Caenorhabditis elegans: one gene and its partner. The protein of the gene in region 1 interacts with the protein of each later gene in a pairwise test. Each region holds a gene or a part of one and is shown in the gene's direction. Other genes may lie near its edges.

What was found.
Region 2: the proteins of smg-7 (region 1) and gei-18 interact in a two-hybrid assay, tested with the Caenorhabditis elegans proteins (one study listed by BioGRID).

Annotation. Positions count from the first base shown.
Region 1 is NC_003282.8:6,734,170-6,750,405, reverse strand, and holds smg-7 (DNA/RNA-binding domain-containing protein), read left to right. Parts: upstream 1-7,962; 5' UTR 7,963-7,975; coding exon 7,976-8,056; intron 8,057-8,101; coding exon 8,102-8,449; intron 8,450-8,651; coding exon 8,652-8,752; intron 8,753-8,801; coding exon 8,802-8,914; intron 8,915-8,967; coding exon 8,968-9,029; intron 9,030-9,076; coding exon 9,077-9,182; intron 9,183-9,234; coding exon 9,235-9,800; 3' UTR 9,801-9,875; downstream 9,876-16,236. Other genes in the region: lin-45 (Raf homolog serine/threonine-protein kinase), read left to right, coding at 1,982-2,053, 2,948-3,118, 3,281-3,463, 3,515-3,637, 3,690-3,950, 4,310-4,609, 4,660-4,783, 4,957-5,171 and 5 more; Y73B6A.3 (TransThyretin-Related family domain), read left to right, coding at 10,124-10,216, 11,310-11,456, 11,499-11,639.
Region 2 is NC_003282.8:13,974,556-13,990,323, reverse strand, and holds gei-18 (GEX Interacting protein), read left to right. Parts: upstream 1-7,798; 5' UTR 7,799-7,800; coding exon 7,801-7,858; intron 7,859-8,094; coding exon 8,095-8,199; intron 8,200-8,260; coding exon 8,261-8,430; intron 8,431-8,487; coding exon 8,488-8,785; intron 8,786-8,847; exon of another isoform or gene 8,848-8,868; intron 8,869-8,909; coding exon 8,910-9,102; intron 9,103-9,146; coding exon 9,147-9,237; 3' UTR 9,238-9,262; downstream 9,263-15,768. Other genes in the region: egl-23 (Potassium channel domain-containing protein), read right to left, coding at 1,163-1,191; tor-1 (Torsin), read left to right, coding at 4,631-4,691, 4,886-5,069, 5,123-5,810; tor-2 (Torsin), read left to right, coding at 6,464-6,524, 6,719-6,902, 6,953-7,640; dnbp-1 (SH3 domain-containing GRB2-like protein), read left to right, coding at 10,485-10,594, 10,643-10,720, 11,167-11,255, 11,343-11,604, 12,391-12,850, 12,904-13,368, 13,663-13,777, 13,831-13,952 and 7 more.

The DNA of each region.
Region 1 (16,236 bases):
TAAATATATCACATACACATATATCTTCTTCTTTTTCTTCATTTCTTTCTCGTTTTCTTTTGCACCGAACTGATTTAAGATCAGTAGAGTTCAAGATACTCAGAGAAGCTGAGAAAATCAATGATCATGATGTTTTTGGTGACCAGAAGGAGCAAAAGAGCAAGAAGGGAAAGATGGAAAGGAGGAAGGAAAAGCAATCGAACTATACAAAATGTAGTAAAAAGACAAACTTTGAGTACAACGAGCACACAGAGTATGAAGAGGTTTTTGAGCGACTAAACATAGAAATTTTTTCACTGTTTCAAGGGATCTAGTTTAAAATCGAAAAATCGATTTTTCGATTATAATCTTTGATTATAATCTTTGAATAGCGTTCAATTTGAAATGTCCAATGCTCTTAAACTTTTAACTGTAGAGGTAGATTTGGTGTTAATTTCTAAAGCTGGCGAAAACCTTGCAATAGATACTTTTAAACTTTTTTGGAGCTCGTTTGAGCATGTCGGCTGAAAATTTCTGAAGACAGGACGTCCCAATGTACGATTCAAAGTTAATTTCGATGAAGCCAAATTTCTGAATTTCTGTTGAAAATCTATATTAAGAACTACGATATCTCACATTAAAATGAAAATAATTGTTATTTTGCGAACTACAATTATACTGAAATAGGTTTTTTTTTGAAATTCTAGTGATCAAAGAAATTTGAAAAAGTTTTGTATAGTCAACATTAGATCAAAATAATGCTTTCGTAGTTTGTTTATTTAAAACTTTTAATAATAATCTTTAGAACCTCAATCTTTTTGATAAACCAAAACAAATATTTGATAGAAAAATGACCTCTTTGATGTGGAATATAGTGTATTTTGTTTCTTTTTTGAGGAATTGTTCGCACTTTTCAAGTGGAAATTGGCGGAAAAAGATGAGAATAGAGTGGAATGAAGAGGCGGAACGAACAAAACACATTTGATGCGCGATCCCATTGATTTTTATTCGTAGAATTTGGATTTTTTTCATAGATTTTTCAAAATAGATTTTTAGACTCACGCTTATTCCTCAAAACATGTATCAACTCAGATGGGTCTCGTCGCGAGAAAACACATTAAGACATATGTTTTAATCTCCGTGATGCCAGCTGCTTTTATTCTGCTTTCCAACTTTCGAAAATTTAGTTTCAAAATAACTGTTTAAAAGTGGTAAAGTTGACAAATGTTAAGATAATAAGTTGATAAGTAATACTTAAGTTAAGTTGATTCCAAGGAAGCAAATGATACCAAATTTTTCTAAATCCTAGAATGAACTATTTTTTCGTGGCAAGACCAATCTTAACAGATCAGTTCACTTTTCAGAAAATTTGAAAATTACCATAACGTAAAGGTAATCAGTTGAGTCATGTAATCCCTTTTTTCTCAAAAATGTCCACATTCTGCAAAATCTTAGTTGCAATATGTCACAGACATTTGTCTAGTCTGTCAGTTTCAGATAAACTTTTCCCGTTTTTTCAACTTTCACAGCTAATTCGGGGTGTACTAACTAGAAGTAGCTTATTAACCAAATGTCATCTAGTTCCTTCTTTTATAATTTGATTAGTGGTTTTTTTCGAATATATTCTTTTCTAGTTTGTGTTTTGTCACGTATGACCTTGTTTCTTCAAATCAACTTGCTGCTCTCTTCACAAACTAAGGTCATCTGTTTCGTGTTAAGACCCAACGCTGAAAACATTGTCAACCTATTCGTGGCACGTGTCGCTCCCGATTTACACGTTTCTTTTTCTTTGCTCTCTTTTTCTATCTCTCTCGATCAGAGCACAGAAACCAGTGAGAAAAAATAGATGGCGAAAACAAACCCCGCCTCTCTTTTTTTGTGTGTGAAGAGAACCATTGGATCCAAAGGGGCCCCTGTTAACAATATATTTTTACTTTCTGAAATTCTTCTAAAGTTATCTGGAGATAATTATATTCCATAATTGATCACATAACATTTTAAAATGTCTGCAATGGCTGTACTGTATTCAGTTTGTCACTTTCATGGAGGCTGGAATCGTCGGAAATCGGCACCAGTAAGTTGAAAACTGATTTAAATCAATAGGGTACACTCTGTGAAATCATAGTGATATTTGAATAATCAAATGACTTTATGAAGCAACCCGCGGGGCTTCTGTATTGAGAAAATACACGATTGCATTTAAAACTTTGCGAACACAATTGTTTAATTGGCCAGCAAATTGAACATTCGTGATTCCTTTTTTGAACATGGGAATCCCACGTTTCATTCGTAACATCTTTTTCAATACAAGTTTTAACTTTTCTTTTCAGCTATCGAGTTACTGTAGATTTGAAAAGTTAATTTATCAACTAATGAAAATAAACGTATTCCATATTTCCATTAATAATAGATTTATTTAAAGCTTCACTCCATCTACATAAATTCATATAACCGAGCGCAACGCTGTCCTTATTATTTGAAAATTCTAATAAACCCTGCAAAATCTGGGTTAAAATCTTCTGCGCGAAAATGGAAGAGAAAAGTGTGTTCGGCCCGCGGACTAACTCCCTCCGTGTACTCTTCTCGGAAAAGAAAAAAATCATCTTTGCGCCCCTTACCGCCGCTCTCTTTCTTTTGTTGACCTTCTATCTGCGAATATATTGATTTTCTGGTTTATTTTATTTTGGAATTAACTGCAATTTTCACATGGAATGCTCTCGCGAAACGGTGTGTTTTCGAACGTTTTCCACAAATAAAATGAAAGTGAAAAATGCTAAAGGGAAACATTTATTTGTTCAGATTGTTTTAAAAAGTGCTTCACAATAATAAAATAGAGCATCTGAAAAGTAATTTACTTATTGCTTGTTCTGATTTCTCAAATGTCCTTTAAAAGTCCGTGTTTAATGTTTTACTCGTCCAAATTGTCCTTTTGTTTTTTAATTACATGTAATCACTAACAGCAATTTAGAAGTCACCTGTCACATCATCTCAAACGCCATCATCATCGTCGACACGCCGCCGAATGAGTCGGATTAATTTCAAAAAGTCATCGGCGTCGACCACCCCGACGAGCCCACATTGCCCATCTCCGCGGCTTATAAGTCTGCCGAGATGTGCTTCTTCATCTATTGATCGGAAGGTAGAAAATTAGCAACGAATCCTTTGTCTTGAATTTTTTAACACTAATTACATGTTACTTGTGGGGAATCGTGTTAATCTATTCAATTCAGAATCAAGCGTCCACTTCTCATTCCAAAGATTATCAATTAAATATTTATATGTAACTCATAATTATTTTCAGGATCAAGCTTCGCCGATGGCAAGTCCTTCAACTCCTCTTTATCCAAAGCACAGTGATAGTCTTCATTCGTTATCTGGACATCATTCCGCTGGAGGAGCAGGAACAAGTGACAAGGAACCGCCAAAATTCAAATACAAAATGATTATGGTTCATTTGCCATTTGATCAACATTCTAGGGTTGAAGTAAGCAAAAAATTCACTGTGAAACGAAGAAAATAAGCACATTTTGTTCAGGTTCGTCCCGGTGAAACCGCGCGGGATGCCATTTCGAAATTGCTCAAAAAACGGAATATCACACCTCAATTATGTCACGTGAACGCGTCATCTGACCCAAAACAAGAATCTATTGAATTATCGGTGTGATTTACTGGAATCTAACAGCATAATTCTTATTTTTGAATATTTTCAGCTGACAATGGAAGAGATCGCATCCCGACTGCCTGGAAATGAATTATGGGTTCATTCAGAATATCTGAATACAGTCTCATCGATTAAACATGCAATTGTTCGAAGAACGTTTATTCCACCGAAATCATGTGATGTATGCAATAATCCTATCTGGATGATGGGATTTCGATGTGAATTTTGTCAATTCAAATTTCATCAAAGATGCTCATCGTTTGCACCACTTTATTGCGATTTGTTACAATCTGTACCGAAAAATGAAGATGTGCGTTCAGAACAAAGGCGGGCGGCAATATTACAAAATTACCAATGTTGTCCCAACATTTGTCATTAACGTCGAAATATAGAAAACCACATTATTTATCTAATGACAACTTTTAATTATGTTTAAAGATCTGTGAAAATGCACAATAATGGCCATTTGCCATAGGCAATTCGCAACTTCTAGGTCATTTTTGTGCATTTTCATAGATGTTTAAACATAATTAAAAGTTATCATTAGATAATTAAGGTGGTTCTATATATTTTTTACACTGATTTTTAATGAAAAATGTTGGAACAACATGGCGTAATTGCTCACCTCTGCTTCAGAAACAATTCTTATCTAAAACATTTAATTTTCAGCTAGTGAAAGAACTCTTTGGGATCGCATCACAAGTCGAAGGCCCAGATAGATCAGTTGCCGAAATAGTTCTTGCTAATCTAGCTCCAACGAGTGGACAAAGTCCAGCTGCCACACCAGACAGTTCTCATCCAGATTTGACGAGTATTAAACGAACGGGTGGTGTCAAAAGACATCCAATGGCTGTTTCTCCACAGAATGAAACATCTCAATTATCTCCATCCGGACCTTATCCACGGGATCGGAGCTCTTCTGCTCCGAATATCAATGCGATTAATGATGAGGCAACAGTTCAACATAATGTAATAGTCACCAATTTTAAAAGAAAAAGTCTAAAATGTATTATTTTCAGCAAAGAATTCTTGATGCATTGGAAGCTCAGCGATTAGAAGAAGAATCACGAGATAAAACTGGATCGTTACTTTCAACACAAGCACGTCATCGACCTCATTTCCAGAGTGGACATATTTTGTCAGGTAATCGAAAACAGAAAACATAACGATTCGTCAAAAGGTCAGGGAAGAAAAACAAAATTCCAAATTTAAGACGTTTTTCTAAAGTTATAAAAACAATTTTTACTCTATTCCACCTTCAAGAATTTCCCAAACGACTCTAATTATTTTAATTTCACTTATTCTCAATTATTCAGGAGCTCGAATGAATCGTCTTCACCCACTTGTTGACTGTACTCCTCTTGGCTCGAATTCTCCTTCATCTACATGTTCATCACCTCCAGGTGGCTTAATCGGACAACCTACTCTTGGACAATCCCCGAATGTATCAGGATCAACGACGTCATCATTAGTAGCCGCTCATTTGCATACTCTCCCATTAACACCACCACAATCAGCACCTCCTCAGAAGGTAGAATTCAAAAAAATCTATTTTTCTTCAATTAAAAATGTTTAGATTTCACCTGGTTTCTTCCGAAATCGTAGTCGATCGCCAGGCGAACGACTTGATGCACAACGACCCAGGCCGCCACAGAAACCACATCATGAGGATTGGGAAATATTGCCGAATGAATTTATTGTAAGTTTATTCTACATCAGCAAGGGTGCACGGCTTTTGCAAACCGGCAGTTCTACAAAAGGAGCATGTTATCCTAATTTTTTTCATTTAAATTCAGTGATCGAATATAGAAAAAAAACATTTTATTTATCTGAAAATAGCTTTTTTTTTTACAGTTGAAGCAATAAAAAAACGCTCAAAACTTCTGTCAAAACTATTAAAACAAGCATTCTTTTAGATTCAATACAAAGTTGGTTCGGGATCCTTCGGTACCGTCTATCGTGGAGAATTCTTCGGAACTGTTGCTATAAAAAAGCTGAATGTTGTTGATCCGACGCCTTCTCAAATGGCAGCCTTTAAAAATGAAGTTGCAGTTTTAAAGAAAACACGTCATTTGAATGTTTTGCTGTTTATGGGATGGGTTCGAGAACCAGAAATTGCAATTATTACTCAATGGTGTGAAGGATCGAGTTTGTATAGACATATTCATGTTCAAGGTGATCTGAACTGAGATTTTAATTCTTATAATTTAATAATTTTCAGAGCCACGCGTCGAATTTGAAATGGGTGCTATCATTGATATACTGAAGCAAGTGTCTCTTGGAATGAATTATTTACATTCAAAAAATATTATTCATCGGTAACTGACCATATCTATAATTTATGTTTAAATGTTTAAAACATTTCAGTGACTTGAAAACGAACAATATATTCCTTATGGATGACATGTCAACGGTAAAAATTGGAGATTTCGGCTTGGCAACTGTCAAAACGAAATGGACAGTGAACGGAGGTCAACAGCAACAACAACCAACAGGAAGTATTCTCTGGATGGCACCTGAAGTCATCAGAATGCAAGATGATAATCCATATACCCCACAGTCTGATGTGTATTCTTTTGGAATATGCATGTACGAAATTCTATCTTCGCATCTACCATACTCCAACATTAATAATCGAGATCAGATATTGTTTATGGTTGGAAGAGGGTATTTGAGGCCGGATAGATCGAAAATTCGACATGATACGCCGAAGAGCATGCTCAAATTATATGACAATTGCATTATGTTCGATAGAAATGAGCGGCCAGTATTTGGAGAGGTGAGTGGGAAATACCGACTTTAGAAATTTGGTAGAACTATGATTTATTATGGGGTTATTCATGAGTGTCAAAAAACTTTTAAAAAATCGATTTTTTGTACTTTGTACATGTTTCGACAGCGTCGACGAGCGAAAAACTACAGTAAGCCGCCATGCGGCGAGACCATACGTTTTCATATGACTATGTCTCTTCAAAAGTTGTGTAAATTTACGAGCTGGGCGTTCTCCCCGTGTACACCGCGAGGACAATTCGGAATTTATTTTCTTCCAGTACTTCACACATTTTCGCTCTTTTTTTTCACATTTAAAATTGGCAGTTTTGTCTAAATATGGTGGCTTCCTTTGATTTTTCACTCTTTGACGCTGTCGAAAAATGGATAAAAACATGCTTTTAAGAAATCGATGTATTTTTTAAAAACATTTTTTTCGCTCATGAATAACTCCACTACACTGAAAAATCCAAAAAAATATTGTAGTTTGATTTTTAAATAAATTTTAATGAATGAATTCCAATTTTTCAGGTTCTCGAACGACTTCGCGACATAATTCTTCCAAAATTGACTCGTTCTCAATCAGCTCCGAATGTTCTTCACTTAGACTCGCAATATTCGGTGATGGATGCTGTAATGAGAAGCCAAATGCTTTCCTGGTCATATATTCCACCTGCAACTGCAAAAACCCCACAATCAGCAGCAGCAGCGGCCGCTGCTAACAAGAAGGCATACTACAATGTCTATGGTCTCATTTAGTTTTATTTTGTTTTTTTTTTTGAAAATCAAGGGACACTGCAACTTTTTAGTTGATTTTCTCGTCTCTCCCCGAATATGTACCTTTATTTTCTCTCTTTTTTCTATTCTTCCCAGTGATTTTCCCTACCCCATGTGTACACTAACCAAAAAACTTCCAGTCGAAGAATAATCTCGCCCATCGTTATTTTACTAATCATTTCTCGTCACATTGAATCCTGTTCTATTATTCACCCCCTCATCACCCATCCCGATATTATTATTATTATTTTAACCCCGTATTCACCGTTTCCTCCAAAACTTAAAAATCCCACCAAAATACTTTCTTTCCAGTCTAAGTCCGCCTGCAATCGTTCCCCCATGTGAAATTGTGATAATTTTCATATTTTTGTTTCGGCTAAACCGGTAGAACTTTTTCTTTTCCAACTATAATGCTTTTTATTGAAAACGTTTCTTTTGATAAGTTTTCAATGTTCCCACCCCATTTCCGTTTCCAAACATCCCAAAGATTCTCTGTATGTATAGAATTATATAGAATCCAATGCCTATCCGTTTTGTTTTTGTCATTTCGAACACATTTTGAAACTTCCATTTATTTTAATTTCAAAATGCAGCATCCCCATTCCTTTTCTGAACCGGGTTATTTGAATCATTTAATTTTTGCAAACAAAAAAAGTTGAAGATAAAATAATTTTTCGCCTGACTTCCTGTTTCTTCTTTTGAGTGGCTAGAAAAAGTGTAGGATTTCAGATTAATATTTTAAAATTTGAAAAAAAAACAAAACAATTTTGTTCCAGAGGATTCCACAGGATGTCGGACGAATGGGAACAGCTTACTGTAGAGTTGAGAAAAATTCCACGTGGCACCGAAGCTGCACCACAGTATTTGAGAGTAAGATTGAGAGGTGTTGATTTATCGAAATGAGAATAATTCCAGCATTTAATGAAAATGTTTGTCGCTGACTTCGAAACTGCTGTATCCAAAAGATTCGATGTAAAATTCTGGAATAAACTGAAATCAATGATGGATGAAATAACAAAAGCAATGGAAAATGATCGACTTGTTAATCATAATGTTCAAAATCTTGCAATTGGATTTTTGACTGATTTATCACTTCTTGTTCATTATCATTATGAAATTCCAAATTATGGAAACGATATCTCAAAACAATTAACATGGACACCAGATGTATTTCTAAACAGAAAACCTATCAAGTCGAAAAAGAATAGTCGAGTGTTCATGGCTTATGTTCTGTTAAGAATGGGAGATTTAATGAGATATAAGGTAGTTTTGAAATTTTTTCATAATTTTGGAAACAATGATGTCAAAATTTGTTTTTCGTTTTTCGAAGTTGATCCAACATGGACCAAAAGAAAAATCGAAAAAAAACCCGAAATTTTTAATTTTTCGATACCAAAAAATTCTAAAGAGCGAAGGGTGTCGTTTGGGTAGTATTTTAGAAAAATCATATAACATTTATTTTCAGGAGAACTACCCAAAAGCTCAGGAATATTACGAGCAATCATGCCGCATTAATCCAGCTGATGGAGCTGTCTGGAATCAGCTAGGATTGATATCTTCACTTGGGTAATATTCAAAATTCCATAGATTTCAGGAAAAAGTTTACAATTTTCAGTGCAAAAAACCTGGAAAGTGTCTATTTTCATACACGAGCTCTTCATGCCACTATGGAATTCCCAACTGCTTCTGGTGGCTTAACGAATATTTTCAAAAATTTTGCAAATCGAGGTACTGTAGGATTTTCATTGAAAACCTAGATATCAAAATATGTCTGTTTTCAGATATTTCAAGACCAATGCCTATTAAAGATCTATATTTATCCTGCCTAGGAAGAATTCATTTCGTGAGTTTAATTCAGAAAGATGAGTATACAAGGGTTACAGATTTCAGCTTCTAGAAATCGAAGATTCTTCTGTGCACCTACAAAAAATTGGAGAAGAAGCTGCAACTTCAAAAGAAATGATTGTTCCTCTAATGTCTGTATATAAACATCTCGGTTGGTTATTTTTAAATTTTATTTTGTTTTCATTAACATTAAAATTTTTCAGAGGACGGAACTGAACTTGAACAACGAGCCGTAGAGTATGTCAAAACTATTTGGTGTACGGCCTACCGAAGTCTCCTGAAAACTTTGGATGATTATAAGGAGGAATCAAAAAAACTGGCAGATGTTCCACATCTTCTTCATATTCTGGCACTTTTACTCTGTGCACCTAAACTCCTTCGCGGTATTGAAGACCAAACTGAAGATGAAGTAACATCAATTTGCGAATGGCTTCTATGCGCAAATTGTGATGAGAAAATCAAGGATTCTGATGCTTTTGGATATTTTCATTGTCTTCAAAGAATTCAATATCCACTCACTAGAACTCAATTGGCTCAGAAATTAGTTGAAATAGAGGATGAAGATGAATCTAAAGATTCCGATCAATCAACAATACCAGAAGAAGATCAGAAAAGCCTTTCTACAGACACTTCAAGAATTCAAAACGAGGATTCGGAACCTGAATCTGAATCTGAATCTTCGGATGAGGAAGTTTTGCAACGTGGCCGTCGGCGTGGAAGAAATCCGAATCTAGACGAATCAGTCGAAACGGATGAAGATGAATTTTAATGATATCATATTTTCGAGTGTAATTGTGATATAATTCCATTGATTCCAGAACATATTGTCATAATTTTTGGTTTTTTTTCTTTTCATGCTACATAAAAAATTAATATAATTTTGGTCTATTGCAAAAAGAAACGATCTACAACGTTGAAAAGTTCGGATTAATTTCAATGAACGAATAGTTTATTCATGAGGATTATAGTCTAGTAAATTGCAATTTTCACACTTTTTTGTATAATCTCTTCCTTGTTCATTTCCGCCTTCCCACGCCAACCTATAAATGTTGCACGGGGCGAAAGTTTATTCATTCAATTGTTGCGATCATAATGGTTCGAGTTTTACTTGTAGCCATTGCTCTTATTGCATTGATTGTTCAAGTCGACTCCGACTCAATGCCATGGAGAATGATTATGGCGAAGGTTTGTTTGAAATTAGGACACCGTCATTTAGGTGAAACTTGAAATTATGTGCTACATTTTTAATCAATCGCAGTTTTCCCTGTGAAGGAAATTTCTTTTTTTTTTGGAATTCGTAACCTTTATAAACTTAATTTTCTGCACCAAATAACCACAACTCTACAATTTGGCACATGTTACGACCGTTATGAGATTGAGCGTGGCGAGACCTATTCAAAAACTGCGTGTGCCTTTAAACTTGTGTGTCAAAGCTTTGCAAAACAATCATATCAGCAGTGGGGAAAGTGCTTAAAATTACTGATAGGGTCCTAAGGATCATAGGTTAACAATGGCCAAATATCAAAGCATATATTTTTTTTGTTGACAATAAGAATATTTTTGTAGACAAAAAACCATGGTTTTCCTCCAGGTTTATATATTTTATGGTATTTGTAATTACGTATCATTATTTGAACAATACATATTGAGATTCAGTTCACATCATTGCTCGAAATTACTTTAAAAAACGTCTAATTTGTCTTTAAATTAGCACTTTTCCAAAACTTTGACTTAAAAAACTAATACATTGTAGAGTTCTTCATATTCACTGTCGCTGCTGCAAATCGAAATATTCTGTGGCAATCTAATTCCATTTTCACCATTTAAATTCTGATTCGAAACCCGAAAAGCACTGAGAAGCTATGATCAAAATAACAAGATTCCTCTCAAAAAGCACGATTTTAAAAGATGGAAAGATCAGACTAATTCCAAACAAATAAAAAATAGTTTGTTGAAGGATTGCCCTTGTTTACTTCCGAGACTTATATAAAAGTACAAGATACGGAAAGAAAGTTCATTTAGTCATTCAGAAATGATTCGAATTATTACTGTATCTTGTGTATTGATTGTTTTATTTCTCTCTACAATTAACTCAAATTCCATGCCATGCAGACAAGTGTTTGTAAAGGCATGTAGATTAAAAGTTGTAGGAAACATTCTTAATTTCCAAAAGTAATTTTACGATTTTACGACACCAATTTCCCTTTTCCAAAATTAATTTTAATGTTCAAAATTGATGAGGCTTGCAAAATAAAAATTATCGGTTTCACATTTTCAGCCTGGAGATCGAGTGGAAATCGGATATTACAATCCAAAAAACATTACGAGATTTGTGAAGAATGCAAAAGGAGTCGGTCAAGAACACGTTTTCAGAGTTTGTAATGGAAAGAATAAGACAAAATGTGGTTTTTGGGAGAACGTTAAGGTAATTAATTTCATATTTTTCGAAAAAAATCTAAAGCTTCAGACAAAAAAGAAGGTAGAACCAAAAACTACATACAACAAGAAGAAGAATCTATTGATTATTCAAAAAGTGTCAGCACTTGATGCAGGAACTTACAGAACTCCAGAATATGATACAGTTGATCTTTATATTCAAACTGATTAGAAACTTGTTAAATTTGCAATAAAAATAAATCATGAAAGCGAGCATATGAGGTATATTGTTTCTCAAGAGGCTTTTCAAGATTCTCACTGGCTCTGCGTACTTGCAACAATTTAGTGACTTTGTTATACAAGCTAACTCGGCTCGTCGCACAATGCTCCTTAATACTTTAATTTGAATCAAAACGCAATAATTTTCACCTAACAAATTGGAATTCTGAGAGTTTCTGACAGAAAAACGTTCTCAATTAAAGGTGATGTAGTCGAATTTTTTATTGCCTTAATAGACTCAAAATTGTCTGAAAACTTTTTTTTTTGAAATCGCCGTCAAATTTTGAGTATACAAGTTCATTATCTTGCGTTTTAAACTAGATTAAGGTATTTAAAAGTCGATGGACGGTGAGATTTTTTTTAAAACCTAAACTCGCTGTCCATCGACTTTAAATACCTTAATCAAATTTAAAACGCAATATAATCAACTTGTATACTCAAAGTTTAACGATGATTAAAAGAAAATTGTTTCGAGCCGCTGCTACATTGACACGTCAGTCAAATTTCCGATTTTAGCTAATTTTAGGCCATTTTTTTGACCCGTCATAACTTATTTCTGAAAAGTTTTCAAGAAGTTTCATTGTGAAAGTCGGCGTTTTCAGACGATTTTGAGTCTAATAAAGCAATAAAAAAATCGACTACACCACCATTAACAGTTTATTTGATAGTCTGAAAATTCTAAACTGAAATGCAGTCACTACTTTTGAACATTTCAAAATTATCTCTGGGAGAGTGCTACAGTGCATTTTTTTTGTTACTTCTACGACTTTAAAGGCGCGCGCATTTTCGCGCAATGGTCTCGCCACGCGAATCCCATTGATTTGTTGAGCGCGTGGCGAGACCAATGACGGGACCATTTTGTATAAATGCGCGCGCCTTTAAAGTCGTAGAAGTAACAAAAAAAATGCACTGTATAATAATTTTCAGATTCTGAAACCAATGTTTGTTTAACTCTATTAAGATGGAATAATCTAATTTCCGTCTTAATAGGGTTTAGAGACCCGATCCCCCAATGACCATTGTCTTCCGGAATGGGTCATTCAAAAATCCAGTAGCTTCCAAACATACTGATAAAAATATACGCAAAATTAGTAAGTTTTCAAAACATAAAAAATTAACATCTGAATTCAAATTAACTTTTTCAAAAATCTTAACGCATCAATTTTATAAAAACTTTTGATTAAACAAAAAGTGAAGCATACAAAGCTTTATTCGTTCCGTTAAACCCATAAAGTATTCAATTGTATATTTCTTCTTTTCTCTATTGCACAATTTATTAATTGAGTGAAGTCCAAGATCGTAGCTGTGAAATGTATTAAACGTATTGCTTCTCATGTAACTGGAAAGATTTCTGATTACAAAAATTGAAAATAGTGAAAAGGGATGCGCACCAATCCGTTCCTAGAAAGTCACATTGGGAAAGCAAAACCCCCACAAGGGACAGTCCACGTTTAACAATAACTAAAAACTATTTTTAATTGACATATTAGAAAAAATCAAACTTTGCTGCTTCATCCTTGCAATAACCAAAGGACCTTTTATTCCAGATGGTCCAATCATTTCTTCCCCTACCACTATTACTGTGAACACGTTTTACAAACTGGAAAAAGTAAAAATGTCAAAGTTTCTTGTAAATACAGTGTCGGCCAAAAGTATATGCGTTTTGTGTTTTTCAGTGATTTTTCAAAATTTTCAAACCAGTATAACTCTGAAACTATACGTTTCGGGAAGAAAAGTTAGACTAACAAAATGTTGCTCTTAATGTTGTCTACACGATCACGTATTTATTAGGATTATAGAATAACCATGTCAATAGATACAGCGCCCGACATCTCGCGAGTCAATTTTTGACGACTTTTCGTAAAACGCTTGTAGTTCAATAACTAGACGTTTTCATGAAAAAAGTTTTAGTAATAAAATGAACCACATTGAATAGTACATTGTTTTCATATAACCATTTTGTCTACAAATGATCAGCATTTCAGATATTAACGTTCAAACTGGCGTCTCCCAAGTGCTCGTTTTGCGCATATGTTCAAAAAGTGGGATACGTTTTTCAAAAATCATTTTTTATATATGTATCTTAAGTAACCAATATGGCAATGAAATTTAATTTACAGTTGAACTAAAAAACAATGTGGAAAAAATTTTTTCCACCATCTTTATGAAACATGTTTAATCTTGACTATCAGTAGGTTATTTCGAACGCTAATATCTGAAATGCTGACCATTTGTAGACAAAATGGTTATATGAAAACAATGTACTATTCAATGTGGTTCATTTTATTACTAAAACTTTTTTCATGAAAACGTCTAGTTCTTGAACTACTTATTCTACAATCCTAATAAATACGTGATCGTGTAGACAACATTGAGAGCAACATTTTGTTAGTTTAACTTTTTTTGCCGAAACGTATAGTTTCAGAGTTATACTTGTTTGAAAATTTTGAAAAATCACTTAAAAACACAAAACGCATATACTTTTGGCCGACACTGTACGTAAACTTTTGCTCGTTTACTTTTTTGCTTTTTATCAGAAACTCTACGCGTGAGTGAAAAAACAAAACCAGTGTGGATTTTAAAGTTTATTTCAAATATTTTCAAACTCAATGGCCGACTCGGAAAAAGACGCCTATTCCCTTTACGCCAATGATATGTAAGTGATTTAGGAACTTGTTTTCCATGGTAGGCATGCGCGGTTTCAAGGCCTGCGCGGTTTCAAGGCCTGCGTGAATCCAGCTTGCCTCTCGCCGCTTTTCTGAATTTTGCGTTTTGGCGACTATATGGAAGCCCTATTGAGGAATCCAGGAGGTCCCACCGACTTTTTCGCTCCCCTTCTCGGCAAGTCGTCCCAGCTTTCTCCAGCATTCTGCCTGCTTTCAACAGCATATTGGCCTTTTTCACATTAGCCCTATAGGGCTAACTATAGTTCTACCCCGTACTTTGCAGCACCTTGCGGCGCCTCGCAGCACTTTGCCGCACCTTGCAGCTTTTCGTAGCACTTTACCGCACTTAGTCGCAATTTGCCCCATTTCTGAAGAGATTGTACTTCTTCAAATTTAGGAAATGTTTGATGCACAGACTAGGATAAAACCGTTCTCTAATAATCTCCCTAGTTTATTTTATGCATCAAAAATTTGACTAGAGCTTTTTTGTTGGAAAGTTCAAAAAAGTTTGCAAGTAATTGTGTATAATGTTCAACGTTTGAATGCTGTTCCAAAATTGTATCTGTCAAAAATATATGATTGAGTATATTTTACTGTTTTCTTAATTAAAAAAAAAAACGTAAAATCATGGATTTTCGATTTAATTTCATTAAAATATCCGAAAAATGTCAAAAAACGCCCATGTTTGCAACTTTTTCATGGTTTTTGCTCCGTCCACAATGGTTACCCTTTCTGTATATCCAGTTGTCAAAGGTTTTCCGAATCGGTGGTGCCTCAAATCTAGAAAAGGATTAGAATGAATTAAGACCTAGGATTTTCAAACGTAGTCAAAACGAGGATACCTTATAATCATCATTGACTATATATAAATCGCTTATTCTGTGTGTCCATAGTTTGTAGTCTATGTAGTCTGTAGTCTGTGAAGTTTTCGCTTCTGGAGGGATAGTGAGTTGGGGTTAGTGTAGGGATATGGCTGGGGTACTGTAGTAGTACTGTAGGGGTACTCTAGGAGTACTGTAAGATTACTGTAGTTTAAGAAAAATATATATTAGGGGTACTGTAGGAGTACGGAAGAGACACTGTAGATTTAGGAAAAATCAGTTACTCTCCTTCCGGAAGCTTCTAAAAATCTTTGAAAAAAATCTGAAAAAATCCTTCCGGAAGCTTCTGAAAAAATCGAGAAAATTCTGAAATCTTCAAAAAAAGTTCAATGGAATTATTCATCTTGGCTTTCTGAAAAATGTTTTAGGGGGGGGGGGGGAATTCAGATTTTATGAGAAACGTTTTTGGCGGGAAATTCAAATTTCCTGAGAAAAAATACTGGCGGGAATTCAAATTTTATGAGAAAAGTTTTTGGCGCGAACTTCAAATTTTCTGAGAAAAATTTTAGGCGGGAAATTCAAATTTTGAGAAAAGTTTTTCGCTGGAAATTCAAATGCTCTCAGAAAACAACTTCCTAGAAAAATCTGGAATTTTCAAGAAAGGCTAGGAACATCTGGAAAAATCAGGAAACTTTTAGAATTTTCTAGAAAAATCTGTAAACTTCTAGAATAATCAGGAATTTTCTAGAATTTTCTAGAAAATCTAGAAACTTCTGGAAACATAGGAAACGTATAGAACTTTCTGTAAAGTCCGCAATACTCCAGGAAAATGTGTGACTGTACATAAAGCTTATCACTTCACAATTTTAAAAGTAAAACAGTTCAGCGTACACCAGTCGGAGCACGCGCTTTGCGCGCTTTGCGCGTGCGAACGGCTGGTAGAAGAAATGAATAGTTGAAAATCAACAAAATTAAAATTCTTTTCCAGATTTAATGGCTACACAATCACCGGCAGGGTTGGCCAAGGATCATTTGGCCCCATATTCTCAGTTTCAAAAAACCA
Region 2 (15,768 bases), 7.2 Mb from region 1:
ATTTTCTGAAGTCTTATTTTTTAAGAAATGAAAACAGTAACTTTTCTGAAAAAAATTTTCTTTTCAGAACGAAAAACCCGTAAGTTCAATTCAATATTTCTTAACACAATAAAAAAGTACATTTCATTGCATAGTACACTCAAAACAAAAAACTGCGTGGCGTGTACTGCAGAAAACCTAATATTTAGGCCCCGCCTTTTTCTCGTCCACTCACGGAGAAAAGGCAAAAATTTTGACCTAAACCAATATCAGGCCGCCGACATCTCACGGGTTCCGCGCGCCTAAATTGCATATTGATGGGAGAGAGAAGGATGATACAGGCGCGTTCAATTTGCATCTCCATTAAATGGAAAAAATTGCGAAAATTATCATTTAAGGGAAAAAAAATTCCATCTGAGCGTATTTAACAGCTTTTCGTAATTTCTAATCAACTGTGCAATGTTTTATAAAACATTCACATATTTTACGGGCAATCAACTATTCTTCCAATGCGATAGATGTTTTGGCAGCGTTCCAAGAAAATTCATTTTCAGCCAATTCTCTCAAAAGTTGAAAAATTTGTATGTTGCCTATGAGCGGCAGATTAACTTCAAAAAACAACGATTTTTATAAATTTCTGGCAAATTTTATTGGACTTATTACAAATTAAGTTACAAATTTGCAACTAGAAAGTGAGTCCATGTCAATAGGAATATCATTATGCGTTTCATTTCTTCCTACTAAAAACCACACAATGAAACATGAAGTAACGAAATTTTCAATTTTCTAAAGTATTGAAAAAAAATAATTTTATTCTTGTAAATTTCCATTTTTCCAAATTGCACTAAATAAAAATTAGAAATGTAGAAAACTTGATTTAAAAATATATTCCAAGTCAATTTACATATAGAAAAATTTAAATAAAAGGCTAAAAAAGTCAGTACGCTTTTCAATTTTCCATGCATAAAACCACACTTTGAAACATGAAATAAAAAAATTTCAATTTCCTAAAGTATTGAAAAAAAAGGAATTTTATTCTTGTAAATGTCCATTTGAGACATCTTTGTACCCAATTTCCATTAAGCAAATCACATGTTCTTGACCCTCGAAAAAGATTCAAATTTCTCTTTGCAACAGAAAAAAAGCACAACCCGGTCATTTTCCCACAAAAAGGCCAACTTACTTTTCGAAAATTGCAGTTTTTGATTCCATGATTCCGGGAACAGAATGGGGTGACGGAATGAGAAGAATGAAAATGTTTAGATGTAGATGAAAAACAGAAATGAGATGCAAAATGAAAACCACATGAAAAAAGAAAAGATTTTGGTGGTTGACCAATTTATCTCTATTTCTCATTGGCTCACAATCGATCACTTTTTGACAGCTTGATCTAACTCTTGAGGTACTAAACTGAAAATTGAAATTGGAATTCAAATATCATGTTTGATCAGGTAGAAATAGTTGAAATTAAAAGCAGGTACTTCCTTATATAGCACAACTGTTAAGTGGAATTGCAATTTGACAACGTTCTGAAAAAGTGCAAAATTTTTTAGATTTTTAAAAAATTTTCTGTTTCAATTTTCGAATAAAACAATGTGTGATTAAAACAATTTTATTAAGTAGTGTGATGTTATAGAAACCCAAATTAGTTTTTTGAGAAAGACGACGACTATGAAAAGTTTCCGGTCTGTAAATCTACCAAAAACCGGTAAACTTTCGTTCTGGAACATCATGGGAGGGTCTCACAACAAAACAAAAAACATTTGAATCATTTTTTATATCCTTAAAACATATAAAATATTGATAATTGAAACATTTTCTACTTATTCTAATATTTTATTTATTTTTCCTAAAATAAATCTATCTACTCCACTTATCTCTTTGGTGTCTTCCAAACATTGCATTGATTGAAAATTAAAAAACTGGAAGCTGGAATTATATCTTAATTTTTTGAATACAACTCTCAATAGTCCAATACAACTTGTGAGCGCATTTGAAATTTAACAACTGTGCGAAACAGTGATTTTTTAAAATTATTTTCGTAACTGTTTTTAAAATTTTTATGTTTTATATAGTTTTGAAAACATTGGAAGATAAATAATAGCTAGCTTTGCTTTCATTTAATTTTCCAGGCACCAAGAGAGCACAAAAAACATTGCAGAATAAATTTAAGTCATTTGAGCCAAGTAACCAATTGTTTTTTATTTTCTAGCCTTTTGAGGTTACTAATTGGAAGTTGATAATTTAGAAATTGGAATTAATATAAATTTTTAGTGAACAAAATTTCTGCATTAGAACAAACTTGTAAGCGTAGTTGGAATTTCACAACTGTTTGAAACAGTGCAAATTTTTTTAGATTTAAAAAAAACTTCTGTTTCAATATTTGAATAAAACATTGTGTGATTTAAACAATTTTTCATGAAATATGGTGATGTTGAATGTGTGGATCATTAAACACTTTCTACTTACTCTAATTGTTTATTTATTGCTCCTTGCATAAATCTACTCTACTTATCTTTTTGGCGTCTCCACAATTTGATTAAAATTGAAAAACTGGGAATTGGAATCAAATCTTAATTTTTAGAATACATAACACATTCGTGTTATGTATTTTGAAAATATTAGGAGTTTAGTAATATTCAGTTTGTTGTGGATTAGGCATTTTAGGTACCAAAGGCAGCGTTTTTTTTAAAGTTATTTTCTGAACATTTTTCTTATTTGACAAATGAGTTGTGTATAAATTGTTATTTCACAGTATCCTCCCATATTTACAGTTTTTGAATATATTTCCCCATTAAAATTCAAAATAAAATTATGCTGTAAATAAATCAATAAATTACATTTTTGTTTGAGAATCACACTATATAATTTTAAAACATGCTTGTTATCAGGAATTTTCCGCTTACATTGATAAATGTGAGTATTTTCAATTTTTTTTACTGTTTCTAATTGTTTATTTGTTGTTCTCAAAAAAATATCTACACTACCTTTGGAATCGATTACAAACTAAATTCTTTTTTTTTTTGAATGGTAATTTGATTTCCTATAAATCTGTTCATCAGTACTTTTGTAATAATTGTTTAAATGAAAAATTTTTAGTAAGTCACTTTTCGGTACAATAACAAACTGTTTCTAAATTTCTAAAGAGTAATTGAAAGATCACAACTATTTGAAATAATATAATTATTTTTGGATTTTTTTTGATAAAATTACTGATTAAAATTGCAAGATTAAATTTTAAACCGGTTAACTTGCTAGCTACTCTTGTTTTAGTTCCCAGAGAGATATGAAAACTTGTTTTTTCTGAAACATCTGTCAAAGCTGGAAAACATTTTTTCGGAAGGTCTCCTAAATATGCGCTTCAGGCAGCGTTTTTCAGCCATTTGTAACTGTTAAATTTGATATAAAAAGTTTGTTTCGCTGTGTCGAAGTATTTTTCCATATTCACATTTTTGAATACAATTTTCCCATAGTATACGTCAATTAAAATTTTGTTTCAGATTTCTCTTGTATGGCTTTGAAACATTCATGTTTATCGAGAATATTCTGCAAACATTGATAAATGTGGAACTTTTTTCTATTGTTTCTAATGGTTCATTTATCGTACCCAGAAAAATCTTTCTACTGCCGTCTTTGTTTTGGCTTTTAAAAAATTTTTATTGAAAATTGAAAAGCTGAAAATTGGAATTGAAACACCATTTTTAGTCGAGCAAATTTTTTCTCCGTAAAAAAACTGGTAATTGTAATTGCAATTTGACACCTTTCTGATAATTTGTTTATTTTTAATTCTATAGCTTTTTATATTTCCAAAACTTGTATGTTTCATATAGTTATGAAAATATTGGAAGATTAAGTCTGTCCCATTCTGTGCTTAGCCGCGTTATCAAAAAAAATAGTTTTTCAGGCACCAAAAAACACGCGAGTCACAAAAAATAGAACTAATTGGAATCTTAAAAATAATTGGAATCTCTTCTTTCTTTGCTCTACAGAAAATGGACTAGGTATATATTATCTTAGGAAATTCTGACGTCACAATAGTATCTTTAACAGTGTTTTAACAACATTTGAAAAATCAGAAACTTCCAGAGCAAAAGGTTGCGGCACTTCCTTGGATCAAGCACATATGGAACATAAATAACATACAGTTTTACTTTTTCAACAAAAAAAAACTCTGCTACTTTTATAGATAGCTTTTCTCGATTTTATAAGTAATTTCATTGATTAATCGACCCATTCATCGAATTCCTCCACAAATCATTTTCAAAACATTTATTGAATTCGTTAATTACTGAATCTAATGGCGTGTTCATTGTCAACATCGTACAGTTTACTTTTTTTCAATTGTTTTTTCATCCTAGGAAACTGTGCTTCAGAAAATTTAATTATAATTGATTGCACATTATAAAAACATGCTTTCAGTTACCTATAGAATCTATTACAAACGCAATTCATAATTTGAATGGTCATTTGATTTCGCACAAATCTGCTCACCAGTAATCCCTTTCCAATTGTTTGTGGGATTAAAATTCCAACAATTTCACAGTTTATGTTACATACATCAAAATTATTTCTGACCTATTTTTGCATTTTTGTGATGAGAATTTATGTTTTATTGTTGATTCTTTTTCCAATCGGCAGTTTATCACTGCCAATGTTTTTAAAATGGTTATTTTGCACATGCTGTTTTGAAACGGATATATTCGATTATCTTAGTGAGTATAAGATACAATTTGAACAAATTAGACTCTTCCGGTGGAAAAAGTGAATACTTAAAATATTTACGCACCTTTTAAGCTTGAATGAGACAGTTTGTACTTTTGTAAAAAAAAGCCAAAAGAAAATCTGTATTGAAAATTTGAAAGAACTCCCTTTTTGAGTTAGTACTTGTTATAGTTTCCCATTTCAGAGCTACACAGAGATCTTTCTAGATTTATTTATGGCCAGCATTTGGTAATAGATACTGTGGTTCGTTCAATCAAATCTCACTGGCATAATGAGCATCCTCAGAAACCGTTAGTTCTCTCATTTCATGGTGGGCCGGGTACTGGAAAGAACTATGTGACTGAAATCATCGCAAAAAACACTTTTCGGTAATTGTTCAAGATTTTGCATACTTTCTGAAAAAAATGCATTAGTGTTTCAGAAGTGGACTTCAAAGCCCATATGTGAAGTATTTTGTTGCAACAAAGGATTTTCCAAACAACAAACATATAGAGGATTATAAATTGAAACTAAAAGAACAACTAATACAATCTGCCGACGGATGTGATCGATCCATTTTCGTGTTTGATGAGGTGGATAAATTACAAAGTGAACTGGTTCAAACAATCAAACCTTTTCTTGATTTTTATCCAGCCGTTTTTGAAGTTGACTTTCGAAAAACTACCTTCATTTTTCTAAGCAACAAAGGAAGCTCTGAAATTGCGAACATTGCATTGGAACATCGTCGAAATCTTAAAAAACGGTCACAACTCGAGTTGAAGCATTTTGAACGAACACTTATGTCACATGCATTCAATGAGAAAGGTGGTCTACGAAACACTGAATTGATCTCTAATCAGCTTATTGATCATTATATCCCATTTCTTCCCTTATCTAAGTTCTACGTTTCCCAGTGCATTCAAGTACATCTTCGAAAACGCGGAAGACATGATTTGGCAAAGGATGGAGAATTCATGCAAAGAGTTCTCGATTCTCTTGAATTTTTCCCTGAATCTAGCAAGGTATTTTCCTCGTCAGGATGTAAACGTGTAGATGCAAAAACTGAACTAGAAATTTCCAAGATGGGATTCTCACTCAATTCGGAGAAAGAGTTTAATGATGAGTTGTAGTTTTTTTTCTGTTTCAAAATGTCCAGAAATTTGTTTTCATTCTAAGTGTTTAATTTTTTTGTTGATTTAGCAACATTTACAAAATTGAATGAACTCAATGATGAGTTGTAAATATTTCCCCTGTTTCAAATTGTCCATAACTACGTTTTTATTGTATTCATTTTATTATTTAATTTTGCGAGTAGAAAATGATTTTGAACCAGATACTTTTACCTCCACCAGGTACTCCACCTTTCATAAGTTAATTAGTTTTTATTATCTTTGCATTAAGCTTGAACTGTAGTAACTGCTCAAAATAAAATTGAATTGGTACAAAAATGTTTTTGAATAAAATCAGCCCTTTTGAAATGAAAAAGTTCGCTGAAAAATGGTTTCTATTGAAATTTAAATTCTATGTTCAATGTTTCTTTATCTTCAAATTTCGTTATCAGTGCATCAATCTATTTTTCGGTGTGATTTCTCATGGATATTTTGATGTTAGCAAGAATACGCAGATAACAAGCGACATCTTCTGTTCCATTTCATTTTCCTTTACTTCTCACTTGTCAAATATTTTGTTTTATTCTGAAAGAAAGATGCAATTTTTTAAATATATTATTTTCGTTATCATTCTTAATCAATTAGTCGTCGATGTCCACAGCTTATCAATGCCAATGTTTTTAAAATGTTTATTTTACACTTGCTGCGGTGAAACGGATATATTCAATTATCATGGTGAGTAGCAATATTTTAAGAAATTCAGTCAAAATTCAGAACACCATGCAAATTGTTTCTAATGTAAAACACAGCTATATACAAATTTTGAGTTGTGCTCCGTGATAAGGAGCATTTTTCGCACTTTTTTTTTTGATACTTTTGAAAGAAAAACCGTTTATTTTTTAAATATTTTTCTAAACTTTACATTTCAGCGTTATACAAAGATTTCGATAATAAAATTTTCGGGCAGCACTTGATGGCAGAATCTGTAGTTCATTCAATCAAATCTCATTGGCACAATGAGCATTCTCAGAAGCCGCTAGTTCTCTCATTTCACGGCGGAACCGGCACTGGAAAGAATTATGTGACTGAAATTATTGTGAACAATACTTATCGGTAACTTTTCATTGCTTAAAATTTTTTTGAGAAACAAGTTTATGTTTTAGAAGTGGAATGCACAGCCCATTTGTGAATTATTTCGTTGCAACAAATAATTTTCCGAATAAAAAGTATATTGAGGATTATAAATTGGAACTGAAAGATCAACTTATAAGATCGGCCCGAAGATGTCAGCGATCTATTTTTATATTTGATGAGACGGATAAGCTACAAAGTGAATTGATTCAAGTGATCAAACCATTTCTTGATTATTATCCGGCGGTCTTTGGAGTGGACTTTCGGAAAACTATCTTCATTTTTCTAAGCAACAAAGGGAGCAAAGAAATTGCTAATATCGCATTAGAACATCATGAAAATGGTAAAATAAGATCACAACTCGAGTTGAAGCATTTTGAACGAACACTGATGCTTTCTGCATTCAATGAAGAAGGTGGTCTTCGTAACACTGATATGATCTCTAATCAACTTATTGATCATTTTATACCATTTCTTCCCTTATCTAAGTTCTACGTTTCCCAGTGCATTCAAGTACATCTTCGAAAACGCGGAAGACATGATTTGGCAAAGGATGGAGAATTCATGCAAAGAGTTCTTGATTCTCTTGAATTTTTCCCTGAATCTAGCAAAATATTTTCCTCGTCAGGATGTAAACGTGTGAATGCAAAGACTGATCTCGAAATTTCCAAGATGGGATTCTCACTCAATTCGAAGAAAGAGTTTAATGATGAGTTGTGAAAGTATTTTCTCCTGTTTCAAGATGTTGATAAATTTGTGTTCAATATTTTTTATGGTTCGGTGTTCTCTAAGGCTTTAAGTGGTTTGAAGTTCCAAATACTTATTAATTTGTTAATTTATGCATGTTTTTCTTTTTTTTAAATATCATTATCATCCTCAGATGACTCCGCGGAAAAATAGTGGAACGATGGGAATGGAATTCAACAAGAAAACTCAGTGTGAGTTTTTAAAGTTTGTAGAACGCCAAAAAATTTTGTTTTCTTTAATTTTTTAGGCAAATTTAGAATAAATTAAAAAATTGTAAACTTATGCAAAATTAGATTCTAAAATAGGTAGCAATATGTACACAAAAAAGATAGCAAAAAACGTAACGCCTGCTGTAGGTAAGGCCTATCTAAAAATCTACCTACAATGTAATCCGTAGTTTTCTATTCAGAAATGTAACGATTTCCAGATTATTCGCAATGCCAATTCTGCACTTTGAAAATTTGGTCAAACACGGAAATTGTTCTTGCTGGTGGAAATGTAATTTGCAATTTGTGCATTGCCGAAAAAAGCCGTGAGTTTTTTCCCCTAAAAGTCCAGAAATGTAACTATTAACAATATACATGCTACTTCAGATGCCGTTCAATTCGACAGAAAATATATGATCAAAACATTATCAAAGACATTTTCAAGAAAGTGGGAAATCTCGAATAATTTAATAATGACACTGCTGATTCTTTTGCTCTCTGCACTTTTTTTTATATCTCAAGGAACTTTTTCAATGCTTCAAAATGAACCAAACCAGGTTTGATTTTTCCACATAACTTTGTTCCTTTCGACAAATAAATTTGCTTATTTACAGGATCGAAACCCCTACCAAAACTACATAGAATCAGTAAGATCCTTTGTCAATTCGGATTTCTCAGATATTTCAAAAGAAAATCGGAATCTTTTGAGATTAATTGGTGAACAAATGTTTTTACATCCAGATGAACATGCTCCGCTTGTCATAGTTATTGCTGGTTTGAAAGCTAATGAGTTTTCTGAAAAATTAAACAAGGCAATTCAAAATTCTAAATCAGAGACAAATTCAAATAATTTACCAATTGAAATTGGAAATCAACTTGAAAGAGGAGAGCTACATGCAATATTGAACAATGGTTAGTTTTTTTTTAACTGTTTCACCAAGTTCATTAATTTTGGGCATTTTTGACACTTACGTTATATAGTTGTAAATGTATTTTTCCGAAAATCTCTTGAAATTTATTTCACTTACCACTTTAGCTCTCGCATCACAAATGACACCTAGAACAGCAGTCCTGACAAATATTGATCTTCTTGCATGGGATGCAGTTTTAGTGCTCCATGCCTTTGCGGACCATGGAACTTTTCCCATCCCAAAAACTGTACTCCTCCTAGCAGTATCAACAGAAGAAACTACTTATTCTGGGAATAGTTGTGATGGGAAAATTTTGAAGTAAGTGATTTTTATTTTTAAAATAAAAAGCAATTAAATTCCAGGCTTGTAACGAACCGCTGGATCGAAAATGGAGGAAACTATGACAATATTCCACCAATTGTAGCCAGGATTTCATATTTTATGTGCTTATAATAAAAATTATTTGTTTAAAAATTTAGTTTTTGTTTACTTGGAAATTGTGAAAAAATATGGAATTTTTAAACTTGGTTACTGCAATTTTGTTCACCGGGAAAAATTACTGTTTCAAAAGATTTGTTTAATTGAAAATCCTCATGTTTATTTGGTTCCTTTATATTAAAATTTTGATTAGAAAAATATTATTCACGAGAAAACAAAACAAGTTTTTAAGTGTTTCTGTGAAAATTTAGGGCAGATCAAGTGTAGATCACACAAAATTTTAGGGAAAATCTATAGAAATGCACATTTAAATGTGAAATTAGAAGAAGATATAATATGATCTACGTGTGATCTACTCAAATTTTTCTCAGAAACGCTCAAAACCAAAGGCTGACCGCGCGACAAAACGATTTTGAAAAAAAGTCCTCTTCGAACTCAGAGAATTTAAAATTTAAACTATATTTTGTAAACAAAAACAATTCTTTTTCCTGTTTGTTTTTTTCATCATAACTTTTTATCAGTTTTTCCGTTTATCAATTTAGGGTTCAGTTTACGAAAAAAATAAAAATATTTACATCAATTTTAAAGCCTTTTTCTTCAAAAAACTCGTATTCATTGATGACATTTTCGGTTCCTCATTATTAGTTTTTTTTTGCAGTTTTTTTCGGCATTTTCTTCCTCGATTTAATTCCCTCAATTTTGTGTGCACACAAGTGCTTTTTTTTGTGTGCGTGTTTGTTGTGTCTTGCCCCCTCCTCATCCCGTTGCGTCTCCTCAAAACATGACAAGTAGTTGAACGATAGAGCGAACTTGCATCTTTCGATTTCTCGGCTGGTGGGGCGGGCGACGTCGCAGCAGCACGTCTTCTTCTCGATGAGAATATCGATTTTTCATATCCCAACACGCACTTTTCATGTTTCAATTGTGATGGCTTTTCATTGAAATAATCCTTTTTTTACAACTGGGGTTTTTAGCTAAAAATTGGGAATTTTTGAAAAAAAGAAAATTTCACAAAATTGGTCTCTGGCTGGTCTATCGCTTACTAATTGTTTATTTTATAAAAATATTGTTTAGTTTCTCGTCTCACTGACGAAATCCAATCTAACACCATAGAAACTATAAACATTTTGCAATAGGAACTAGTGTTCTATTCGAAAATTGGAAATTTAATTGAATTTTTGATGTAATTTTCAAAAAAAAAGCTTGACTAACTCCGTCTGCGTCTGAACACTTTTTTCTCAAATTTTCCAAAATTTTGCAGTATGGCCCACCTCTCGTGGGTAAGAATTTCAAATGCCACACAAGATCCCGAAACGCGGTGTTCTGTAGCCCAAGATCAGATTGTTAAGGTGGTCCGTGAGGAGGGGGATTGGTCAGTGCCACGTGGCAGTGCCAATTTATAAAATCTTAACATTTCTAGGTGTCACATTCAAACCATCGAAGGGGTTTCCGGTCGGGTTCCCAGAGTTCTTACATTGCCCATCGTCGACCCGAAAAGGTTTTTGCTTTCTCTCTAAAAGATTGTCGTTTCACAAGATTTTGAAATTCCTTCTTAAAGGCGCACGGATTTATTTAGATGGGTCTCGGCGCGAAAAAATTTTGCGATTGTTTCTTCGTTTATTATGCGAATTTCACCGCTTTGTTTTTAAATATCAGTTTTCAAAGTACAAATACACTCTTTTTCTATAATTTAAGATTATCGATTTCCTTTTAACTTAAATGATTTTTAGCTGACCGAGAAACAGAAAAAAATTTTAATACAAATTTTCTCTGTGTTTTGAGCACTGAAATAATTTTTAACACGAAAAAAAGACTACCACAAACTTATTCGCGCGCCGAGACCTATCTGAATGAACCCGTGTGCCTTTAAAATAGCATGGCAAAATTTTGTGAAATAACAATATGCATTTCATTTTATCTGAGACTGTTTCTATATTCTTGCAGACAACCTGACGAGCAGGTGTATTGCTCAATTGAAGCTTACACCTCTATCCGCTCCGATGATCTCTCATTTGCAGAATTTTCAATCTTTGGTATATACTTTTTCCAACAATTTATTTCTCTAATTTTTGCAACCAATCAGTTAACTAACCAATTTTATCAATCAATCACATTTTCAGTAGCAAAACCGTCGCGTTCAAATCCTGGTTATCTGGACGGATTCCTGGTGAATGACAACGCTGTTCAAATAGGACGCCGTGGATTGTTACCGGAGGCACATTTGGTCAATTTGCATGTTTCTGCTGAAAGTCCGATGAAGCCGTCATTCACCACGGATTTCAGTGAGGCTGATGTCCGATTTCGGACGCCTGCCACTGCTCCGAAAGCGGCAACTTCGAATTATGCAGTGTCGCCGTACGCTAGAGCTGTTTATGATTTTCAGTGAGTTTTTACGTTTAATGAATTGAAATTTTTTTTTCAAATTCAAAAACACATTTAAAAAATTTGTCTTCCAACGTGGTGCCCACTTTCAGTTTTTTTTCGTTGATAATTTCGCTAATTTTTACCAATTTTAATGCTATCATCACTAAATTGTGCTCGAAAACCAAATTTTTAATAGAAAGTGCGTAACAGTAAATCAATATTTAAATCACTTTTCAAATATGCCAAATATTTGCATTAAACACATCTCTATCAAAAACCAAAAAGTCAGGAAAAAATATATATGGCAGTTGAAACGGGAAAAGTGTTACGCCTTTTTAAACGATTTTTTCACAAATTTTTGGATTAAATTGGTTAAAATACATAACTAAAATATGATTTTATCATGGCCGTTGTAAAGAAAAAAGTTAGCACGTGCAAGAAATAAAATATTACATGAAGATTAATTTATTTTTACAAACTTTCCATTAAAAATGTGGTTTTTGAGTTGCAGTAATAATCTTGACTCACAAAATATCTGACGCTTTATTTTTTGTCATGACTGTTTTGGGTCTATGAAAACAAGTAGAACTAGTTATAGGTAATTTTTTGTTGGCTGAGCATTTTTCAATAACATTCCTAGTTCTCGAGTTATACTCATTTAAAATGGATACTTTTTTGGCCAGTACTACTGTATCTTATTGTGAAATATTGTCACGTCAAAGTAGGATAAATAATGTGTTTTTATTCAGTTTCAAAATTCATTTCAATCTTCTCAATATTCTAATTTATCTATATATTTTCCAGAGGCGAATTTGAAAACGAGCTCTCTTTCTCTGCCGACGAAATCATCAGCTTACGTCGTCGAATCGATGCAGAATGGCTTGAAGGATCGATAGGATCTGCTCGTGTCGGAATATTCCCCACTTCTTTCGTTCAAATCATCGTTGATCTACCTGACGATGACACTACATCGCTTCAAAATAACCGACGAAGCACGACCACCGAGAATGATGGAATCGGATTTGCGAATGTTCGGCACGCGTTTTCCGGTCGTCAAGGAGATGAGCTGACTGTGAATGCTGGAGACACTGTTCGAGTACTACGAATGGTCAATGATGAATGGGTTATGTGCAAGGATCCAGATACAGAGAAGACTGGAATTGTACCTGTAGGATTTTTAGAAGTTTATCTGGATGAAGAAGATGACGATAATCAATCTTCAAATGCTATGAGGCGTGGAACTGGAGGGACCAGCGATTTTACGGTGAGACTTGAAGAAAATAGGTTTTTATAGTTAAATCAATTATTTTTTTTCAGTTTGGTAGCTCCAACAATCGTTCCTCCTTCATCTCAAATGCTGAATCCTCATCCGATTGGAGACCACCCGCTGGAAGAACAAACACCGATTGGGCAACCTTTGAAGCAGTTCCACCGGCAGCGCCTGCATCAAAACCTGCCCAAAATTGGGCAACCTTCGGCGAAGAATGGATTGCTCCAGTTCAGCTAGCAAAGACTTCAGCTCCAGCCCGACCACCACCTCCTAAGCAAAGTTCTATTCAATCACCTATCAATGATATTGGCAACGTGGCTGACATGTTTGGAATGACAGATACTCCAAAACCAAGTAACCCTGCGATCCAGTCTGCTGGCAGTGACTTCGAAATTGGACTGATTTCCGCCACCGAAGGAGCATCAAATGATGAGGATAAACGATGCAGAATCATTGAGGAGTTGATAAGCTCGGAACTACAGTTCATCAGTGATATTAATTCCTATACAGAGGTATAGTTCAGGGGTGCACGGCATTTCAGCAATCGACAATTTTATCTTCAAAAATTTTTATACTGTTTCAAAATTTTCATTTAAAGTCTGACGAAAAGTCTATGACACTAATACGTCTGGGCGTTTACTTTCATTTACTTTCAGCAATTGATCTTTTCAGAAATTTTCGCCATTTAGCAATTTTTTCTCCTGTTGAGAAAATATATTAAGTACTATCTTAAAATGGCTTTAACACCGATGTGTGTTGTTTATTATTTATTCAATCATCACATTTCAATCAAAAATAATTTCCAGGCTGTAGACGGAACTCCTCTCCTGAATCAAAAGCAAAAGGTTATTCTGAAAAATGGATGTGCTCAAATTGTACAGCTCTCGGCTAATCTTGTCCAACTTCTCACCAATGAGCAGAGTGAGTGCTAAAATTCCAGTTTTCAGTATTTTATTTTTTTAAAATGTTTTCAGTCAAACCACAAGATGCTCAACTAATCGGTGCATGCTTCCTACAACTTCGAAAACCATTTGCTCAAACTTATGGTTTTTACTTTAGAAATATCGAGCATATCAATGCTCTTACCAACTCGGCGGTAAGCTTTTACCTGTTGTTAAAATTAAAAGTATATGAATTTCAGAAACATGAGAAAACTATGGAATCAGCACTTCAGGATATTGTTAAACGTATGCGAGAAAGTGGATCCGTTGTTATTGACGGACCAACTGCCGTTTCGAGACCCATCCAAAGAGCCACCAAATATCCGCTTTTCCTGAATGAAATTGTCAAGGTTTTAGAAAAAATGGCCTTTAAGAAATTCCTAACTCATTAAATTTTTTAGCTCACCCCACTTGTTCACACAGATCATCCAAAATTGACAGAAGCCATCAAGCAAATGTCGAATCTTGGGCAGAAAATGAACGAGTCGAAGAGAAGGAAAGAGCTCAGTGCGTACACTTTTTGAAAAAAATTTTGAAAAGTTAACTCTAACATTTCCAGCTCAAAAATACATGTCCGACGACAAGCAAACATTCGGAGAAATGCTTTCCAAAATGACATTCCATTCGTTGAAAAAGAAATCGAATCGGTTTACGTATCGAATGGGATCATCACTGGGTGTTGTCAAATTGGTGAGCTTCAGATTTTGTCTTACAATTTTAAAGTAATATTTTTTCAGCTCCGAGATACCGATTTTGACCGCCTTGTATGTGAGCTGGACAGCGCAGAACGTCGTCTGGTTCGATTCAATTATATGATGGTTATTTATCGAAAAAAGATGTTCCATGAGACTAGAGTATTGATGCATAAAAAAGTTGTCGAACCTCGTGAGTTGTTTTTTTTCCATTTCAAAATAACATCAAATTCAAATATTTTCTCTCCAGGAAAAAAGCATCTCTCAAGCAGTGAAATCGATCTTCAACTGCAACCATTCAACCATGCAATCAAAACATGGGCCAGTGAGGCAAATGTACGGATACGTGATGAAATTGTGAAGGCGTTGAGGAGTATTCCAAAGAGACTTATAAAGAAGAGAAATGATAAATTAATGGATTATGAAGCGTCGAGAACAAAGGAGAAGGGTCTTGGGGTACAACTTCGAATTTTTATTGTGGAAATGACTTTAAACCAAGAAATAATTTTCAGAAACGAGACTTTGCGGAAATCCAAAAAGACTATGAAGCCTTGAACACCCAAGTGAAGCAGCAACTTCCAAAAGTTACCGAATATTTGACTACTGTGAGAATTGCCCTAAAATTGTGAAAATTCTCAATAATATTTTTCAGGTCCTTGCCACTTCAATGAGAACAGTGTCAGAGCAGGACAAGGCGCTGATGGAAACCCTTCGAAAGCTCTTCAACGACGCAAAATCGAAGGCGGCAGAAGATCAATCAAAAGCTGCACGATCACTCATCATTCCCACAACAATCTGTTTTGTTGATTATTATGATCAGGATCGTATGAAGCCGTTGCAAAAGATTGCGAATAAGGTGAGTCAGATAGATAAATATTGGATCAGTTTTGGGAAAAAATACATTGTGACTCACCCGGCCCTGTTTCTATGTAGAATAAAATTTTAAAATGTTTGATCTAGGAAAAAACAATTTAGTTTTAAGAATGGGGGGATGTCCAGAACAAGGCTGTGTGGAAAATGTTCTGTCAAACGTACATAACTTCTCTTTCAATATGATAATCCAACTTTTTTTAAATCTTAAATTTATATAGAATTGTAAAAAATAGTTCCAAAAAAAGGAAAAAATGTTTTTGTTGTTAAAAAATTCGAAAACAGCCTCAAATAGTGCCTGAAAGTCGCCAATTGCTGAAAATTTAACGACAATTCGCAACCTTCTTCAGTGTTTCTTTTTCAAATAATTTTTTTAAGCAAAACGTAATATTATTTTTAGATTGATTGA